2 linked regions of the Caenorhabditis elegans genome follow. The protein of the gene in region 2 purifies or fractionates together with the protein of the main gene of each other region. This does not show direct contact. Each region holds a gene or a part of one and is shown on either strand. Other genes may lie near its edges.

Evidence for each region.
Region 1: the proteins of yap-1 (region 2) and egl-44 purify together in Caenorhabditis elegans (affinity purification with western blotting, with the first as the bait; one study listed by BioGRID). This does not show direct contact.

The regions. Positions count from the first base shown.
Region 1 is NC_003280.10:5,931,946-5,939,564, forward strand, and holds the start of egl-44 (TEA domain-containing protein), read left to right. Parts: upstream 1-1,591; coding exon 1,592-1,636; intron 1,637-4,495; coding exon 4,496-4,539; intron 4,540-4,626; coding exon 4,627-4,720; intron 4,721-4,971; exon of another isoform or gene 4,972-4,992; intron 4,993-5,101; exon of another isoform or gene 5,102-5,107; coding exon 5,108-5,306; intron 5,307-6,591; coding exon 6,592-6,740; intron 6,741-6,792; coding exon 6,793-6,976; intron 6,977-7,032; coding exon 7,033-7,408; intron 7,409-7,464; coding exon 7,465-7,573; intron 7,574-7,619. UniProt on the Caenorhabditis elegans protein: Transcription factor. Binds to DNA sequence motif 5'-CATNNNNAAATGCAT-3' as a heterodimer with egl-46.
Region 2 is NC_003284.9:10,689,957-10,695,473, reverse strand, and holds yap-1 (Yes-associated protein homolog 1), read right to left. Parts: upstream 3,532-5,517; 5' UTR 3,527-3,531; coding exon 3,374-3,526; intron 3,066-3,373; coding exon 2,997-3,065; intron 2,952-2,996; coding exon 2,830-2,951; intron 2,785-2,829; coding exon 2,724-2,784; intron 2,677-2,723; coding exon 2,576-2,676; intron 2,531-2,575; coding exon 2,325-2,530; intron 2,069-2,324; coding exon 1,773-2,068; intron 1,720-1,772; coding exon 1,612-1,719; intron 1,352-1,611; coding exon 1,229-1,351; intron 1,184-1,228; coding exon 1,094-1,183; 3' UTR 501-1,093; downstream 1-500. Other genes in the region: plpp-1.3 (Phosphatidic acid phosphatase type 2/haloperoxidase domain-containing protein), read right to left, coding at 1-10, 57-155. UniProt on the Caenorhabditis elegans protein: Plays a role in thermal stress response and in aging.

The sequences.
Region 1 (7,619 bases), on a different chromosome or scaffold from region 2:
ATTATGATTTTGTTTCAAACCTCACATTTATATTTTTAGTTTGAACTTACAACATCTACACCAATTGTTTTAACCCTAAAATCTATATTTTCCCAGACGGAAATAATGTTTAACCTAGAGAAGTGTGCACATGATTGACACGAACATGACTTTTTTACTGTCTTTTTCTTACGTTTCTCCCGTTTTCTTCTCTCCGTCTCTTTCCATTTTCTTATCACTACCATAATTTTGAAAATCCATTTTATCAAACGTGCTCCATTGAATATGAAGGATATGTATGACGTCATCACTTAATATTAGTCACCACTTGATTCTTGACGTCTTCGTCTTATTCTTCTAATGGCATGATGATAGGAAATGGTTTGAAGTACTTCTACTTCTACCTTATTACCAAATTGGATTAGTTACAGTATGAATGGTTTATGTTATCTTGTGTTTTCCTCCTTTACACTTTCAATTAATATGTTTGTTGTTTTCGCTAGAGTATTTTTTGTCTGAAAAAAAAAACAAATGGAGCATCAGCAAAAAGTGAGAAAATAATAGAGTTCGCATCTCGAGACGACAAGACGTCATTTCTTTGACGTGGATTGATTTGAAAATTAGAGAACTAGTGATAAGAGAGAAAGAAGCATCCGACCGCGTGATGACCTGAATTGATGAGAGATAATGGAAAGGTGTCGACGATTGATGAGTCTGGATTTAAATTCTGATCTTTTGTCAATTTAATATTTATTGATAAATTAGCTAGTCTGAAAAAGTGAAGTAAATGTATTTTACTTTACAAAATTTTTTTGCAGTTGTTCCATAACTTGAAAAAATTGATAGGGTTGTATGTATTGCACCAGTAAAAATATATATTTGCAGCAGACTTTTTTGCGGACTGCATAATTTGATAATTTATTTCAGAGCAGAATTAACATAATTATGAGCATGTTGGTTTTCTCTAAAGTAGTCTAGATTTCGGTTTTGGTGAAGAGGTGAAATTGAGTGGAGAAATTGTAAACATCAATTTGGGAATTTACCAAAACTCTTTACCGCGACAAAAAATTCAGAATTTGAATATACCTCCATGGAAGCGATTATATTGTGCAATTATAATTGTGTAATATATCCTCTTTACCTTCTTCATGCTTATCCCCAATTTCCTCCCTCTCTCTTCTCACCTCATTCCGTTGATTAAAGAACCAATTGAACGCCCGCAGGCTTCGTTGTGGGTAATACAGTAATGTGATAGATTGTATGCCTGCCTATGCACATACACAAGTATGTGCTCTACCATTGCATATTCTGAGCTCTCCTCATTTTATACACTCTTCACAAATATCCACTCCATTAGAAAACCATCTGTCCGTTTGTGTCCCCAACCGGGAGCGCGAGGGGTGGATTGACCGTAGAAGGGACTGCCATCTGCATTTCTTCACTTCCCCCCTTTTCTCCAGCATACCATTCCATTATTTCCTCGATTCGTGCCCCGTCTCTATTCTTCTTCGATTTTACCGGTAATTCCTTGTTGTACATATTTGTAGAATGCATTATATACTTTTCCAGACTACCGTATTCCCTCGCGTACCCAGTTCTTATTTCAAAGATTATGAACTCAATGTTTTGTTCAGAGTTGCAACAAGCGCTGCCGCAGGTGATATATTTTAACCTGTTTTCATTCAAATATTCTGATGAAAAGCACGATGTCTTAGTCAGCCGATTCTAGAAGTTTTTATATTCCACGTTGCAGTTTACCTATAGAACGTGACAATATGTCACATGAACAAACTGGTTCTATTGATTTGATAGGAAGTTTGATTTTTTTTTTGAAATAAGGTTTTAGTTGCAAAAACAACTTAAAGTGAAATTTGTATGTATTTAGAAAATAAAAACTTGAAAAATATGTAAATATTTTCTTTGTTTTTGTCAGCACTTAACTGAAAAAAAACCACAAACCGTAAATGAGGTGTCCCATTTGTCCTTGTTCAGATAACTAACCATACTCCTCCAATTACCAATTTATCCGAATTAGCGCCCCACACACTCCTCCACATCCACACTATCTTTCGCTTTTGATTACTTTTTTCGGTAATATCTGTCAAGGTGGCTGGGTTCGTCGTCGTAGTCCTGTACTGTTTCGTCGAGAAGGTCACCATATTGGGGGAAGAAGTAAGAGACTGTCTTTTGGCGCAATATCACTGTTGTGTAGATCGCCTAGTTTCTTGTCTCGAATAACATGAAATGATAGACAGAGTTCCCTATGACACTCTAAGTCTCGAGGTTCTTATCACTTTATCGATTAGTTGAACAGCTGGCTGTCTCCTATCATCATATATCCACCTTGTTTTCTTTCCGCCTTCATGACTCTTTTCTTCCTGAAGCATCCCTTCAAACAATTCTCTATTTTCTCTGTATCCAATGACTCAATATTCTCAAATCTCAACCTAATTTGAATAACTGACAACAGTAAAAAGACCTCCGAATGCAAAAGCAGGAGTAATTAACCTAGGAAGAAGCAACCAGGGATAGTCAATCAAAATGAGATGACATAGATCTCGAGTTGACATGTTTTTTGAACCAATCTCGGAATATTTGCATAATTAGTAGTAGTATTCCCATAAGAGCAGATTTGTAAATATTATAATAAGTTGCTTGCAGATGGTTGGTAGTAAATTTTATTTTACTGCAAGTGAATATTTATTTCCAAATGTGTTAATATTTTTTTAGTTAAAAAATTTTATACATATTTTTGAGAAAGTTGTTTTCGAAGTTTTGATACTGTTTTATTGCAAATAAAAGTCGGAATTGCTCCAAATTTTTAAACAAAACTTTAGTATTTTAAAAAATTTAGAAAAATACCACATGTTTGCTCTTCTACAATATTGAAATACATAATTAAATCATATAATTTGTAGTAAAAATTAATTATTTTTCGGCCGACTTACAAAATTGTGGATTGCAAAAATAGAGAAATCGCCACTTGTTTAAAACGGAGTTTTTAATTAATGTACATTATGTTGATTGATGAGGTTTCAGTGAAATTTTTAAATTAAAAAAAAACACTGATTAATTACTTTACCTATTATGAAATAGAAAACAATATAAAAATGTCAAAGCTCATAATGCACCAAATAATTTTACCAACCTAGACTACCTGCCCAAAATACAGTTTGCCCTCAATTCTTTTTAGGATAATCTCTTTTAGAAGTTAAGTCTACAACATGATTATAACGACTTCACGGTACTGATCACTCTCTTTTCTCTGAATCCATACTTCCAACCCGCCGTTCCTTCTTCATCATTTTCCATTCGTTTTCCTCCGTCTCTTTTATCTTTTTCTCATCTCTTTTCGTTTGTCGATCTGGACGATCCGATGCGTCATCCTTAACGCTTCTCTTATTTCTTTTCTTCATCTCCTTCTTGAAAGTGTCTATCATTTTTTTTCTACTTTATTTCCTGATTCCATCATATCTCCTATGTGTTCATTAAGTATCACTAATTATTCCATTAGTCCCTTTCCCACCTGCCATCCATCTTCGAGGTTTTCCTTGTTTAGTCTGGTTTATTTGTTTAACAAAAAAAAAGCGTGTTGGAAAAATGCGAAACCGTCTGCGTTCGCTAGTTTGAAAAATTTTAACAGAAACTTCCAATGTTGAGTTGGATTTAACAAGTTAGATCTCAAAAATATTTTTCAAAAAATCTAGAAAATTCGGCTTGAAAAAATTGCTTTAAAATCCGGAATAAATGGAAAAATTCCGCCATAATTGTTTTCATCGACAAAGATTGATTTATGGAAATTCAAAATTTGAAAAAATATTTTTTAAACTGTTTTCAAAAGATAACTGAGTAACAATTCTGAAAAATCTTACAAAATTGGTTGCCATGACAACAACCTCTACAAAAAACAAATGACCTCAGCTTCTACATTTCTTCTGCATATTCCAATTATTTATTTTATTTCACATTTGACATGACCGTCTGAAATGAAACAATGAAGACGTTGGTCTTTTCTTTTCTCTTTCTTTTCCCACCCTGAAAACCACGAACATACATTTTTCAGTTCAGACGTTTTTTCTGCAATTGCATTAAGCATTGATGATGATTCAGCATTCACAATCATCGATTTTTCCTCCTTGTTGATTTGATTTTGTCCGTTTTTTTCTGCTCCCACAGAAAAAAAACGCACAACAGTTACCTGTCTTCTTATCAATTTCCTTTTACGTGCCTATTCCTCTTCTCTACCTATCACATGACCAAACTTTCAGTACCCCGGACATAAATGCCACGTCACACTTTAGACATTATCACATTTTTCTCATCTTTTAAGCAAAAGCTCTCAATCTCTAAGGTCTATGCTCTTCAGTTAGAGATCGTAATTTTAGATACCGAACACGGGGTGAAAACCGAAAAACTAAACTCTTTTAGCTCAAGATTTTTTCCATATCTTCTCTTGCCTGCCATTCACTTTTTTGATGGATTACGGTAGATTTCGTTCAACTTTTTTGCATTTCAGATGTCGGAAGACGTAGCAGTCACGGCGCAAACAATTCTCAATGGGTAAGTTGAATTTTGTTGGGCAGGGCGGAGTCAGAAGGTGTCAGAATATGAATAGATGAATAGAACTAAAGTGTCCCATCATTGCAGAACCCCGCCCCATAATCATTTTCGAAAAGAGTGGCTCGCTGGAGCAGCAGGAACGACAACGCCCACGACGACCTCTGGCGGACAAATGATGACGGTTTGTGATAAAACAATTTTTTTTTCGAGTTCTTCCCATTGAGATTTTATTGACTTAAAATCTTTTGATGAAAAAAAAGTTTATCACAATTTTTAAAAGCTAGAAATTTATGCCATTAAAATATGATTTAAAAAAAAATCATAAGTGAAAACTAGAGAACAGTGATTGATTTTGCAAAATATCTGAAATACTTTTCAAAACAAAAACTATTTCAAATCTTATATTTTAGAATTGGAATATACATACAGTATTTCATCTAATTGTCTTGCACCTCATTGCTCAAGTTTGAAGCCTTTTAGCGTTCTTTGAGCTCAAGTTTCAACCCCTTCTGATACCAGCTTCAAATTCCCAATCAGACACTTCTTTATCCTAAAACATGGATTTCAGCTCTCCCCTCCCGCCGGTGACGGACCAGGTTCCGCTGGCTCAATGGCTCCCGAATCGACTTCTTCCCTTTCCGACTTGTCTGGTGACGCGGAAGGTGTGTGGAGTATAGACATTGATCAAGCATTTCAAGAAGCGTTAGCCATCTATCCACCTTGTGGACGAAGGAAAATTATCATCAGTGACGAAGGGAAAATGTATGGTGAGTGAACTGTCTATACATAATTGGAGTCATACAAGTGGTAGAAGAATGAATACATTCACATTACTGTGCATCTGCCTTCATTGAACATCTGCCCATATCCATGGGATAGAAACTTCTTTTCCATTTGACTTTTCTTTCTAATATTTATTATTATTATGATGTAAACGGATTGAACCGGCAGACAGAAACCGACAAAAGAAGAGAGTAGAAGGTACTACGGGATTAGTAGAGACCATCTTTCCATCCTTTCCGTGCCACTTCTCCATATTCCTTGTATTTGTTTATTTTCGCTGCGGGAAACCACGGGCGGCTCTTTCTCTCTCTAAGTCTTGACTTTTTGACCCTCCCGCGCAACCAAAATCAACAAATCGTTAGATTAGATGTTGGAACATAGTTTGTTAGGAAAATGTGATTAGGGGGTTACCGAAGTATCCCAAAGTATCACGTTTTCAGCTGTCGGTTAAAGTATTTAAAATTTAAAATTGAAATTAGATTTCAAATTTTATTTTAAAATAGAAAAACCTCTGGAAATTTTAAAATAAAAACTAAAATTATCAGAATTATAAATATTGAGGAATATCAGAAACGTAGCGTGTCTGTAACTGCTCTCGCTGGACTTTGTGCTCTGCCACGTCATAAAACACGAATACTGTCTGCGCAGTGCCCGGCAGTAACAAACAAAAAGAGTTTGCACATTTGTTTGATTTTCAAAAAAAAAGAAACCTTTTTCCACAATGATGACAACTAAAAGTTACACAGACGCTGTTTTGAGACTACTGTAGAACAGCAATTTTGTTAGACTTCTTAACAATGCCCGTTACTACGGTTATCAGTTTGATCCGCTTTTATTTCGTAAAAATTACCGGAAAACATAATGTTATCAGAGAAAATTCCATAGTCTTTACTCACTTAATTTATGTGATAAATTTGGGTGGGGTGATAATTGATACGCAAATATAATTAAGAGGGTTCAAGTTTTCAATACAGTATTTTTTAAAAATAATCTTGATCTCCCTATTAGTCTAGCCAATTAAATAATAGTCCTATAGAAAAATACAGAATTTAATCTTAAATTTTAACAATTTCCACTTTGATTCGTGAAATCTTTTTTTAACATAGAATCTTTCAAGTCGACGTCACCCTTATTTTAGTTATTCCATCGTCAGACCTGAATTTTTCACCTGTTCGTTACCTGATTATTTCTTCCTCCTCCCACATTCTGATTTCATTATGAGCAACATTCATTTACTTGTTTGAATTTTATATGTATATATATTTTCAGGAAGGAACGAACTAATCGCTAGGTATATCAAATTGCGATGTGGAAAAACGAGGACTCGGAAACAAGTGTCATCACATATTCAAGTACTTGCTAGGAAAAAGCTCAGAGACGAACAAGCAAAAAAGAAGGTACCTTTTCATCTGAATACGGTAGTTTAATTTACTATATGTCTAACTGAAATTCATATTGAAAACTTTTCAGGGTGATATTCCCAGTCTTCTTCAACAAGCTTCACCTCCAGGAGGAGTTAAATCTCCATCAGCTGTAGTATTTCCGCCTGTTTCCGCAGCTGTCGCTGCAATCACTGAAATTTCTCCACAAAGTAGCTACTCATCAATTGTGCCAAAAGTGGAAACCGATCAAATCTCCCAACAACTATTTAAATGTTAGTTTTTTATGCGATACAATTATTGCATCAAACTAATTTTCTCATGTTTCCAGCTCTTCCTTTGTGGTCATTCCAACAAACTCCTGGATTACCTATCGGAATGGATCTATCACAACTTGTTTTCCAACAATCCTCTCCCGACAAAACAGTTTCACCTGTGAAATCAGAAGTTGTAGAAGAAACGAAACCAATCGCTTCTTCACAATTAACACTTCACAGCTTCTCCGCATATGTCAAATGTAATAAGACAAGTTTAAGGACAGAACTCGTGAAGATTGAGAATACACTGGAAAAAGATGATATTGACATTTCTGTATTTTACGAAAAATATCCGAAATTACTTCGAGAATTGTTCGAGAAATCCGAGAAAAAGGATGTCTTCTTCCTTGCAAAGTGTTGGGCAAATATTAATGTTTCGGATGATGTACAGTAAGTTATATTGAATGTGATTGATAATTAGTTTTGACTCAAAGAAAACCTTTTAGAAACTGTCAATACGCAGTCGACTCGTTCTACTCAAGTCGTGAAAAATTCCAATTAAAGGTCTCAACAATGGCTTGCTCATTTGGAAACCAGGCAGTTGAAAAAATAGAGGTACGAATATTATGAGCTAAGCGGCAATGTACAATCGGTTGATTTT
Region 2 (5,517 bases):
AAATTCCTCCCTGCAGTACAAATTTCTATTAATACTAACAAAACATTTTGATATACCTTCACAATTGCAGTTTTCCTATCAATTTCTTCTTCTTCCTCCTTGAAACGAAGCAATCTACCACTAAAAGTTGTTCTTCGAAGCGCTCGTTCTGACATTTCTATTCTGAAATTTTTCCTAAATTATTACATTACAAATAAATTGAAAAATAGAACGTAAAATGAAATGAAACAAAAAAAACGACATCGGTAAAATAATAAAATGGGGAGGGGTATAGTGGAGCGTGTTTGCACACTCCAACTGATGCGTGGTGGTGACGTCAGGAGAGGAACGCTCTGTAGCCAAACACAATATACAACGTGTGCATAAATTGAGAAATCGATAAATTGTTTATTTGGAACCTTGAATAGCAGAAGTCAGAAACTGTTAGGCATATTTTAAAAAGTTTCAGAATACACAAATCAACAATCGTACATGATATCAAAAAAATGCTTGATGATCTCTTCCATTTTGTCTTATTTTATTTAAGTGTAATTAGACGTAGAACAAAAAAAGAAAATTTGAGCGGAAAATACAGAAAAATCACATCACAAAGGTATTTTGAACTAAATTGCAGCTAATTGTGGAAGAAAGGAATTGGTGACTCTAATATGGTAAAGCAACTGAATTCATTTGGAGTTTTTATTCAAGAAAGGTTGAAAATTCTCTTTTCAGATCCATTAAGTAAATCAAAGTAAGTCAAAAAAATCAAAAAGTCAACTTTTTTAATCGATAAATTTCTTTTTGGCAACTTTTATGATTAGGAAATTGTTAAGGTTCACTACTGAATGACTACGTTTTTGCAGGGGAAATTTCAAAGAAAGTATGGACAAACATTGATAATGCAGGTATTGGAAACGGGGTTGAGCACATGATCACATATAATAAGGAAACAATTGAAAAACTTTCTGATGAATCTTCAAGTTTCAAATTTCAAATCACAAGTCGCTATAATCTAGACACAGGCACGTTTTAGAGAGAGAGAGAGAGAGAGAGAGAGAGAGAGAGAGAGAGAGAGAGAAAGAGAAAGAGAGTGGTTATTCTGCTGATTAGACATTTATTGATAATGGTGCACCATTGATCCCACTCCTCGATTGTTATCGTTGCTAATTTGTAGATACTGGTCGAATTCGTGTGGATTGATATCCTGAAATTAGTCTAAATAATTGAGTATAATGAAAAAAAAACAAACATCGATTACATAATTGCTAGGCATATTATTATGCATATGTGGTTGATGCTGATGTTGTAGTTGCTGGGGGTGTGATACCATGGAATAATCGACTTCCATCGCACTGTCGTCGTTCATTTGACTCTGAAAAATATGTTTTTGATTTGTTCTCAAAGATAAACTTAAGTAATTATTAATATCAATTTGAGCTGTAACTTCAGCCGTTCCTTTAATTATTAGATATTATTAGATAGTCTTGGTTAAAGCATTATCAACAAATAATGGCTTTTTTTTTTTTGAATTTAAGGCACGTTTTAGAGAGACTTCAAAATTTTTCAGCTTACAAATGTCATAAGATTGGACAATTACGAATTTCTCATTTTACATCATAATAAATATCTTACATTTTGGTATTGATTTGGGATCTGGTGCAATGTATGCGGTGTCTGTTGTTGTTGAGAGTTTTGAGCCTGTTGTTGTTGTTGGTACATGAAATTTGGATCATGAGAATGCTGTAATTGGTTATACTCAATTAAATTTGTTTTAGTATCTTAAGAACAAATACCATCATAGTTGATGACATGGGGGAAATTGCTTGATATGGTGGTTGCGGACTGTCGACAAGTCCAGAATTGATCAGCTGCGCGTTCTTCTCTTGAATCATCATTCGTTCGTTTTGTAACTGCTGAATATAATCCATTTGCTGCTGAGAAGAGTATTGTGGTTGTGGATGATTGGGAATCATCTGCTGGTGCTGATGAATTGAGGGCAATGATCGAGACGAGTGTCCATTGTCGTAACAATTATTATATCGGTTTTGGCCAATGTTTTCTCCTAATCCAAAACCAGTTTGTTCTTGTTCTGAAAGTTGAAATAAATTAATATTTAATGTGAACAGATTGTAACCTTAGTTATTTATACTAATTTTTCTGAAGAAAAACAGGGTATAACAATCAGTGAAAACGTGTAGAAATGTTTTCTAGTATTGTCAGAAAAAACAGAGCTATATATGAATAAGACTCAGTAAAATGTTCGATGAAAATAGAGATTTTCAAAATATTTTATAAATATTTTGCAAACTTTTTTTGTTTCATCGTATGTTATAAATAAAACTTACGTTTTAGCCTAGGATCATCCCACGTTGTTGTTTTTGAGTTATGATCCTTAAAGTACCGAACTCCATCACTGTCGTAACACATTTCCCATCCTTGGGGCATGGGTAACTGCTCAACATCCTGTGGTGTCATAAATGGCCTTCTCATTGGGTCTAGCGATAAGCTCTTTTCCCGATTTTGTTGCATCATTCCTTGTTGTTGTGGTATTCTGAAGTTGATATTAGAAATGAAACAGAAATATTCTATGGCATACTCCGAGAGTCCTGCATATGAGTAATTTGCTTCATGAGATACTGATTTTACGTGAGAAGGTACTGGAGAGTAGCCAATAGTCATTGGTAATGCAGAAACACTCTGTAAAACTCTTTTTTAGTTTAATCAACAATCATAGTTTTTCTCACTTTTGAGTGTTGATGGTGGACATTGTGATGAGATGGATGTGGTACTGTTGCGGAAGATTGGCTACAAATATTTGTGATTTGAATTGTCTCAAAATAAATCGTTTACCCATTATTAACACTCGTATGAAGGTTCGGTGCACTGACTTGTCGTGTGTGAATCGGTGCTTGGTTTGATACCATATCCATAGCTGGGCTGACGGCTGTTCGACTACTTTCATCTACTGATCCCTGAAATTTCACCCGGTGTGTTATTCTTCAAAAATTTAAACTTACATAAGGGGAATGTGCACTGCTTCCCGGATTCCGCTTCTGATGGTAATATGATGAAGGTAGTGGATTTTTCTGAAAGTTGAAACGAGGCATGTGATTTTCAAAAAAAAAACAACTTTTTGCATATCCATTAAACCAAATTAATTATTATCCTTGTTTTGCGATATACCCCATTATCAACTGTAAAATCAAACTGTTACAAAAGTGTTGCGAAATAAGTAGCTTCTTTGTCAATTAAGGCAAGTGTGACGCAATCAAATAATAATTCTTGTTTCGTACGAACAATTTGACCCGTAAAAACAATTTGAGTGTAATGAAATGTGATCTCAATTTTTTTCAGTTCTATTATAGTTATATTATTTTTTAGAATTTGAACAAACCTTTTGATTTTGATTTTTTTCATACTTTTTTTCTGAGCATGAAATTAAAGCATGAATACTCTGATTTGGATCTAAATAATGATGCACTGAGAATTGGTTTTTATCTTGCTGTGAATTTTCTTGGTGCTTCTTATGAATGCTCTTGGACGCCATCCAGCCTGCAAAAATTGTATTTAGATGTGAATAAATGAAAAATTTGAAATAGTAACAAAAAATGAAGAATGTGAAATCAAGAAACAAGGTGAATCGTGCAAGGAACGAAAGAACGAAGGCAATAGGAAACCAATAATAATGTGTTACAAGATGGAAAAAAGGCAAAAAAACGCGAGAGAATAGTTGGGAGGACATGAAGATCGGAGGCGTTTCCATCCCTCACATCCGGCAAATAAAACATGATGGACAGACACCATTTCAATTTCAGTAAAATGGAATAAGGCAGCAAGAAAAAATAAATAAAACGAAACAACTAAGATCGAAACAACAACAAAAGTTCTCCCGATGCTTCTTCTTTCTCGATCGTTCGCCCCCGCCACGGATGTAAAAGGTCAGTTTTTGTATATAAACGAGAGGAAACGAGAAATAGAAAGGAAAACTAGAGGAAAAGTAAAGGGGGGGGGGGGAGTGACAGTTTAATACAATTGCAACCGAATCAGAAGGAGACGTCGACTTGAGGTGCGAGAGAAGATAGGAACACGAAATCGTGTGTCTAGAAGGTCAACCAATTGTTCGTGTATGTGTGGTGCGACTGATGCCTCCACCTTCTTTTCCTCTATTTTCCCCCACTACTCCGTCGTTCTTCCCAATAACTTATTATGATCAGTTCAGAGATAAGAAAAAAGATGGACTGATCCGACCGCAGGATTGTAACACTCGGAATCTGGGAAGAGTTGAAAGCTATCATCTACTACTGGAAACCCTAGCTGTGGAATAATTGAAAAAGTGCTTTTCACAATAAATTACATTGTACAAATTGATTAAAATAGATTGAGACAACTGCAATAAAAATATTTTTCAAACTAAATTGTTATGTTTTTTGAAAATTTGTTTTTAAGTTTTTCAAAGAAATTAACATTTTCACAGACCAAAAATAAAAGCTGTTGACAATATAATCAAATTGGAAACAATACGTGTTATAAAGGTAATTGCGCTTGATAATGAAGTTGATTAAACATAACTGGAACGACTGTCTTGAGATATGTACTTTCCTAACTAAAAGCTTAATTATCTTAATTTGAATTTTAATATGGCTCGCCATGAATTGTTTTATTCCCGGCATCATCAGTAAATAAAATGAATCAGATCGGTCAAGTTCAGTACTCACAAAAAAATCGGAAGCCAATAACTGGTCTCTAAAGAATTTCAGGACGCTCTGGGGATCCCTAAAGTTTTCACAAAATTTGTTTTATGAAATTTGATATTTGTTAATTTTTAAAATAATTTTAATTTCAAAATAAAATTTGTATTCTTTTGAGAAATTTCATAACATTCGGTTTTTTTTGAAATATAAAAAATATACAGAGGTCTATAAAAGTTACACAATGGTTTATTACACCTAACTTTTTTGATACTTATTGATAAAGTTTTTGGAACGGCTTATTTGAATGGTATCAACAGTTTTCTGAAAAAAAAACAATTATCAAAAAGAAGTGCAACTTAAAACAGAAGGTTGGGCTGTAGAAGTTGAACGCACCGTTCAACATTTGAATGTACAAGTGTTGAACTTCCTCAAAAATCTCAAAAAATAAATTTATTTGGAAACAATTTTCTATTTGTGCTACAAATTTAAAACTCAATAATAAATACTATTGGAGGCTCAAAAGTTGAACAAAAACCCATCCTTTACGTCACCAAACTTTTCAACAAATCAAGATGAAATGTTTCCAAAACGTAAAGAGTCGCAGAGTCTCGATCCTTTTAGAACTTATGTTTGTACTGGGTGTTACATACAATGCCACAAGTAGTGCACAAACAAATACGCCGTTCGCCTCTCTTTCTTCTTCATCTTCTTCGACTTTCCCTTCGATGGCTAACATCGTAGTCCGTTCCGAACTGATTGAACCGAAGTGAGATAAACAATCAAGTTGACCACAACATCTTCTAACGTTTTTTTTTTTTGCTGTGACTGATCACACTCTTTTATAAGT